2 linked regions of the Neodiprion lecontei genome follow. The protein of the gene in region 1 purifies or fractionates together with the protein of each later gene. This does not show direct contact. Links are inferred from orthologs where the notes say so. Each region holds a gene or a part of one and is shown on either strand. Other genes may lie near its edges. The genes, in order: glycine--tRNA ligase; isoleucine--tRNA ligase, cytoplasmic.

Evidence for each region.
Region 2: the proteins of glycine--tRNA ligase (region 1) and isoleucine--tRNA ligase, cytoplasmic fractionate together in Homo sapiens (co-fractionation; 3 studies listed by BioGRID). This does not show direct contact. The link is inferred for Neodiprion lecontei from reciprocal best matches to the Homo sapiens genes GARS1 and IARS1.

Annotation. Positions count from the first base shown.
Region 1 is NC_060263.1:40,313,141-40,317,066, forward strand, and holds the start of glycine--tRNA ligase, read left to right. Parts: upstream 1-998; 5' UTR 999-1,275; coding exon 1,276-1,524; intron 1,525-1,765; coding exon 1,766-3,446; intron 3,447-3,548; coding exon 3,549-3,736; intron 3,737-3,877; coding exon 3,878-3,926. Other genes in the region: transcription elongation factor 1 homolog, read right to left, coding at 323-455, 550-665. UniProt on the Homo sapiens protein: Catalyzes the ATP-dependent ligation of glycine to the 3'-end of its cognate tRNA, via the formation of an aminoacyl-adenylate intermediate (Gly-AMP).
Region 2 is NC_060260.1:8,081,916-8,085,841, forward strand, and holds the start of isoleucine--tRNA ligase, cytoplasmic, read left to right. Parts: upstream 1-1,074; 5' UTR 1,075-1,501; coding exon 1,502-3,926. UniProt on the Homo sapiens protein: Catalyzes the specific attachment of an amino acid to its cognate tRNA in a 2 step reaction: the amino acid (AA) is first activated by ATP to form AA-AMP and then transferred to the acceptor end of the tRNA.

The sequences.
Region 1 (3,926 bases):
GCGACACCAATATGTCAGCCTCTTTACAGTTATCAATACTATTGCAAGATACTTATGTTTGATTATACTGTCAGAACATTTATAGATCAACAAAAGATCTACGCAAATGTGACCAGTCTCCTGATATACAGCTTGTGTACCAAGAGATGATAACCAGAATGTGGCATGACTCAAGTAAAAGAGGTATCCATGGCCCTTGCATCGTATTTCGAATACCATTGTCAGTTCTGAATCTATAGTTTAGTCCATCATGCTTTAGAGCGAAATATAATTTAGTGTTTTAATCTTTGTCTTCCGTTTTTTCTTCTGCTACAATTGCAGTTTAGTTGGCAGTCTCACAGGCATCAATCCAATCATTATAGACATCAAGAGGCTCTGATAATAGGTTTATGGTTGTTTGAAAGTCCTCCATACATACACGACACGTTATTCTGGCCGTGTTCCTTGATTTGTCCCTGAAAAAAATTGGCCATTTAATATGATAATCGGTTTTAAAGTGACAAATATATCTAACAACAACGCAATTATCCGTATCTTGTGTTTACTCACATCTTAACCTCGCAGGATTTTTCGTGGTTGCAAAACGGACAATTGAACTGGGTGTCAAGCGGTTCGATCGCCTTTCGTTTACTCGGCGGTTTCCTTTTGCTCTTTCTACGTCCCATTGCGTCTCAATAACTAAAGTCTTTCTTCCAAATACAAATATTTAATGATAAACTCTGTTTACACTTCTCCCCGTTCTTTCAGTTGTCACCGGCTGCCCGCTGACTTATCTGAACGTCGAAGTAGACGCTTCAGTTGACAGTTCTGCCACTACACCGGGTGCTAATTTCTCAGCAAAGTACTTCGTACGTTCCGAAAGTATGGCAGGTACAAGGTGAACTTCGAACAATGACGTCATATGATACGAATCCAACTCGTATATCCGAACACGCACAACGATTGTGACCGGTCAGTAGCTTTGCTACTGTTTGTTGCACTCAGCTGTATTCAACAATCGCCAACCATAGGCAATCATAAACCTATGCCAATTCCGAATATGATCAATGTAATGCAACTAGCACTTCAAAGAAGGAATAATTATATCTCTCCGTCCTAATTCCGTTCTAATTATTAGGAAGAAAAAAAAAGGATTTTTCCCATCTACGAAGTCTAACCTTTCCCATTTCTTTTCATCTTACTCGTGCTGTTTCCGGTAGAATCTGACAACTATACGGTAGTCGGTAACCAGCGTGCCAATTCCCCGGCGAAAACTGGGGATCGAGATCGCTGCGAATGCAGATTTTTCTCCATACTGTGCGAGCCACATGCAAGTTTGGAGCTCGGTACGGGATCAAATATCTCAGGTTCCTCGATCAAATTTCAAGAAATCTTGCTGTTAGTTCGAGGTTATATTCCGAAACTCCTCAGTGGGGCTCGAAGAAGAAGCACAGAAAAGTAAAGCTGCACTTTCAGCTACAGAGTATGGCAGATCCAAAGATAGAAGAGGTCCTCGCGCCCCTGCGATCAAGTGTCAAGGAGCAGGTGAGTGCCATATGGCTTCAGATTTTTACTCCAAAAAAGTTTTCATTAACAACACAATGTTTGGAAACTTTTTGTATTTCGGTTTATTCAAGAATTCGCGAAAAAAAATTAAGAAAACTGCATGTATTTCCCCTCTAACAAAATCCGTCTGTGTATTGCATCAGAGTAAGCATGGCTTTCTTTCTTCTCGTCCAATAATCTTGTCACTCTGGCTTATAATTTTCTTTTTTGTTTCTTAAAGGGGGACCTGGTCCGTAAACTTAAATCTGATGGAGCACCAGACTTTGATGTCAAGAAGGCTGTTGCAGAGCTCAAGGCACGTAAAAAGCTCCTTGAGGACAAGGAACTGTCGCTGATCCCATCGGCGTCGTTTGATCGTGCAAAAATGGAGGATCTTCTGAAGCGAAGGTTCTTTCTTGACCAGTCGTTTGCCATCTACGGTGGGATAACAGGACAGTATGATTTCGGTCCAATGGGATGTGCCTTGAAATCAAATTTCCTTAGCGTCTGGAGAAGCTTCTTTGTTTTAGAGGAACAGATGCTAGAAGTTGATTGTTCCATCCTAACGCCTGAACCGGTTTTAAAAGCTTCTGGACATGTGGACCGATTTGCAGATTTAATGATAAAGGATGTAAAGACTGGAGAATGCTTTAGGCTAGATCATTTCATAAAAGCACATTTGGAGAAAGTTTCATTGGACAAGAAAACTGACGAAAGTTTGCGCGCTGAGTGCCAAGACATCATCATCAAGTTGGATGGTATGAGTAAGCAAGAACTAGCAGCAGTTGTGTCGAGATTCAACATGAAATCACCGATAACTGGCAATGATCTAACGGAACCTATCGAATTCAATTTGATGTTTGCCACGCAGATTGGCCCATCTGGACTGATCAAAGGGTTCTTGAGGCCGGAAACTGCTCAAGGAATTTTCGTGAACTTTAAAAGGCTGTTGGAATTCAATTCAGGCAAGCTTCCCTTCGCTGCTGCACAGATTGGTAATGCTTTCAGAAATGAAATATCACCGAGATCCGGACTCATCCGTGTCAGAGAATTCACAATGGCTGAGATTGAACATTTTTGCGACCCCAACGATAAAAATCATCCGAAATTCGAGTCTGTGAAGCACACTAAGATGCATCTCTACTCTGCATGTAGCCAAATGGATGGGAAAAGTGCAGAATACATGGAAATTGGAGAAGCTGTAAAGACAGGGCTAGTAGACAATGAGACTCTAGGATACTTCATGGCTAGGATCCAGCAGTTTTTACTCAAAGTTGGAATAGATCCTGCTAAGTTACGCTTTCGGCAGCACATGGGCAACGAAATGGCGCATTATGCTTGCGATTGCTGGGACGCTGAATGCTTGACGTCCTACGGCTGGATAGAGTGTGTTGGATGCGCAGACAGGTCCGCGTACGATCTTACTCAGCACACTAAGGCGACAGGGGTCAGATTGATCGCTGAAAAGAAGCTGGCTGAGCCAAAAGTCGTTGACGTTGTCGAAGCATTCCCGAACAAGGGTGTCCTAGGTAAAGCATTTAAAAAGGAAGCCAAAGCAGTTTTGGACGCACTGGCTGCGTTGAATAAAAACGAAATCGCGGTGCTTGAAGGAAAAATAAGTAAAAACGAGGACTACGATCTCGTTTTGCATGATGGGGCATCAATCAAAATTACAAAGGACATGGTCTCGATAAAACGTTACCAAAAAACTTTACACGTTGAGGAAATCACACCGTCTGTCGTTGAACCCTCATTTGGTGTTGGTAGAGTCATGTATTCTCTCTTTGAACACAATTTCCGGATGAGAGAAGGTGATGAGCAAAGGACATACTTGAGTTTGCCTCCAGCAGTGTCACCCCTGAAATGTTCTGTCTTGCCACTCAGTGGTAATACAGAATTTACACCATTTATTAAGAAACTATGTAAGTGCCACCCATAATTAATGGGTGTAAGCCAACAATTTTTCACCTTGTTCAGATATCTTTTATGTACTATCTAAAATTGACCTTATTTTGTCATTTTAGCACAAGATTTGACTGCATTCGACATATCCCATAGAGTAGACGACTCTTCAGGCAGTATCGGTAGAAGATATGCTCGTACAGATGAAATTGCCATACCTTTTGGCATTACAATAGACTTTGATTCTCTGAAGACTCCGCATACAGCAACCCTTAGAGAACGGGATAGCATGGATCAAGTCAGAATAAATGTAAGTTTCTTATATTGATCAGCCGGCTGTAATGTGCTATACTTATCTTACCAAACCAAAATTGAGCTTTTGAAAACATCTTTTTTTTCCATATCTTTAAAACGTTTTGGGAGTTTAAACATGTGTTCTTCTCTGTTTCAGTTGGACGAGCTCCCAACCGTGGTGAAAGACTTGTCTCTATGTAAAATAA
Region 2 (3,926 bases), on another chromosome or scaffold:
GCCTAACCATGCAGCTAAGAAATCGAAGATTTGTGTAACAATTGTTACCGCCACGCCACGTGACAGGGGAATACCAGGGAAAAACCCGTAACCTAACACATGCAAACTCACCAGCGTTGCCGAGAAATGGAGAAGTTACTCGGAAGTCTCTGCTTAAATCTGTGAAAAGCAAAACAAAACACTTGAATTAATTTAGGAAATCGGCTTTTCAGATTTCAAGTCAATTATTACTGTTATCGAGATTCATATTTATACATTGCATGTTATGCAAGAACAAAAGTTCGGCTTTAAATGACCACCGTGAATTATCAATCAATAATTAAAGTATTGTTACCTCGACTCTGGGCTGCTCCACACTTTAACACGTAGTAGTTCTTGTAGCATCTCAGGTTTATTGGTGAAGTGACGCATTTTTCACACTATTCAGATCTTCAGTAATTTCTTATAATCCGAAAATCCGCACCGTAACGATACTCGATTCTACACTCACTTTCTGTGCTGTAGCAGTATCTTTGAACCGACCAAATAAATTTGCTAACAACGGAACTGCGCATTTGCCGAAAATCAGCCAAAGAAAAAAAAGAATAAAATTGACACTCGTTGCACAGAGCCAAAAATAGACATCACTTAAATCTGAAATTACATAAAACAATGAAAACTCGGGACACGAAATTCACCTTCACCATTCGCAGGGTGTTTTTATTTCAGTCACTCGGTTTTTCCACAGGCTACACGCTGCTCATCGTGTATTACTCACAGATGAGTATGGTGGAAATACACTGATCGAACAACGTGACACCACCTGAACAACGCGGTCTGAATCTTGAACCGATACTGAGAACACGTTATTTCACTCCGATTGCTTGGAAACGACTGATGCACGGCACGACGCTCAGAAGAGATTTAACTGTTCTCTGAACGATGGAAGATAATAATTCGCGCGCCCTCTCTGTGGCTCTTCCCATGGAGTGGGGGTAGCTGCACATACCTGCCTAGGCTTTTCATCCCCCCTCTCGTAGCCCACACTCCATGGGTAGAGCGACAGAGAGAGCGCGAGAATTATTATCTGCTGTCCTTTAGAGAACCGACTCGATTCCGTTCATAGGACAATTAAACCATTGCTTACGCTCTATTTTACATATCTATGGTTTCAACGGCCAACAAACTCGTATCATCAGGCTAGAACACTAGAACAGTGATTGTGAGAATATAACCATAGTATAACCTAAAAACAATTTGCAACTTCTGCTGATGAGAGAAGCACGTTGCGTTGAGGTCGTTTGAACAGCCGGTGTGAAACTTTTTATTTATTTAAACTAAAATCGGTTTTTTGCTGACTATTGCATAGAGTATTTGCACAGAGTCGTGAAGGAAGATGTGTGAATTCACACGTGAATAGTTTTCTGCTGCTAATACAATAATATCAAATCAATCTAATACGGCTGCGAAGTAGCAGGTTGCATCATTCGTTTATCACAAAGTATCTAATTGTAACACTGCAATGACGGAAAAACTACCAGATACAATAAACTTTCCCAAAGAGGAAGAAGTCATCCTCGAGTTATGGAAAAAATTGGACGTATTTAATACTTGTTTAAAACAGTCGAAAGGCAAACCTAGATATTCCTTCTTTGATGGGCCACCCTTTGCTACTGGTATGCCACATTATGGTCACTTGTTAGCAGGGTCAATAAAGGACATAGTCACGAGGTATGCACATCAGCGTGGGTTTCATGTTGAGCGAAGATTTGGCTGGGACACACATGGCTTACCAGTAGAGTTCGAAGTCGACAAAGTGCTTGGGATCAAGGGCCCCGATGATGTAGCCAAGATGGGGATAGCCAACTATAACAAAGAATGTAGAAGCATTGTAATGCGCTATGCGTCTGAGTGGGAAACTATTGTTGGAAGGATTGGACGATGGATCGATTTTAAGAATGACTATAAAACTCTTTATCCTTGGTATATGGAATCCATATGGTGGATCTTTAAGGAATTATTCAACAAAGGTCTCGTATATCAAGGTGTAAAAGTAATGCCCTTCTCTACCGGATGTAATACTCCATTATCCAATTTTGAATCTGGTCAGAACTACAAAGACATCGCCGATCCTTCGGTAGTAATCGCTTTTCCACTGCTCGACGAACCTGGAATATCTATTTTGGCTTGGACGACAACCCCGTGGACTCTTCCCAGTAACCTGGCATTATGTTGCAATCCGAATTTTGAGTATGTCGAGGCGAAAGACTTGACTACGAATAAAATTTACGTCATACTTGAGTCAAGTTTGAACCTTATATACAAATCTAAAGATCAGTATGCATTAGTTGGTAAGAGGAAGGGCACTGACCTTAAAGGTAAACGCTATGAGCCACCATTTAACTACTTTTGCGATCTGAGGGAAAAAGGAGCCTTCGTGGTATTAAACGACACTTACGTAACTGCTGAAACTGGTACTGGAATTGTTCATCAAGCACCATACTTCGGAGAGGATGATTATCGCTGCTGTTTGGCAGCAGGAATAATAACTCGTGATCAGTCTGTTGTCTGCCCTGTTGATAACTGCGGTAATTTTACAGAGCCAGTAAGTGACTTTTTGGGTCAGTATGTCAAGACTGCTGATAAAAATATCATAAAGCATCTGCAAGGAAAAGGAAAACTTGTTCACAGTGGAACCAGCAAACACAAATATCCCTACTGTTGGAGGTCCGATACTCCGTTGATCTACAAAGCAGTTCCATCTTGGTTTATTAGGGTTGAACAATTCAAAGACAAGCTAATAACCGCAAACTCTGAAACTTATTGGGTGCCTGAATATGTTAAAGACAAACGTTTCGGTAATTGGCTTCGAGATGCTAGGGACTGGGCCATCAGTAGAAATCGTTACTGGGGTAATCCCATACCGCTCTGGGTGTCCGAGGACAAAATGGAAATTGTGTGTGTTGGAAGTATTGCAGAATTAGAGCAGTTGACTGGATCCAAGATTGAAGATATTCACAGAGAAAGTATAGACCATCTGACCATTCCTTCTAAGCGTCCTGGGCATCCTCCTCTTAAACGTGTCACGGAAGTATTTGACTGTTGGTTTGAATCTGGATCCATGCCTTATGCTCAAATGCATTACCCTTTTGAACGAGTCAAAGACTTTGAAGATAGTTTCCCAGCTGATTTCATCGCCGAAGGTATCGATCAAACTCGTGGTTGGTTTTACACCTTGCTGGTAATTTCTACAGCATTATTTGGAAAGGCACCGTTCAAAAATCTAGTTGCTAATGGTCTGGTCCTTGCTGCCGATGGTCAGAAGATGTCGAAACGAAAGCAGAATTATCCAGATCCAAAAGAAGTACTTAATAAATTTGGGGCTGATGCTCTAAGGTTGTACTTGATCAACTCCCCAGTAGTCAGGGCTGAAAATTTGCGCTTCAAAGAAGAAGGTGTGCGAGACATTATAAAAGACGTATTTTTGCCATGGTATAACGCATTTAGATTTTTGATGCAAAATGTTGAGAGATTTGAACGTGAAGAAAAACTACCATTTAATTACAATGAAACCAAGAAGATTTCTGACTCGTCGGACAATATAATGGATAGATGGCTCACCTCTTTTACTCAGTCATTGCTGCAATTTCTAAAAGAAGAAATGCAAGCTTATAGACTTTACACTGTCGTACCTCGACTGATAAAATTTATAGATAATCTAACCAATTGGTACGTAAGAATGAACAGAAAACGAATAAAAGGTGATGGAGGAACAAGAGATTGTGAACAAGCGCTGAACACGTTATTCTCTGTTCTCTATACAATGGTGAGAATAAATGCACCGTTTACACCATTTTTAACTGAATTCATGTTCCAACGACTGTCCAAGTTAATTGTAGCAACCAAAGGCAACATGGACAGCGTTCATTACCAAATGATTCCTGATC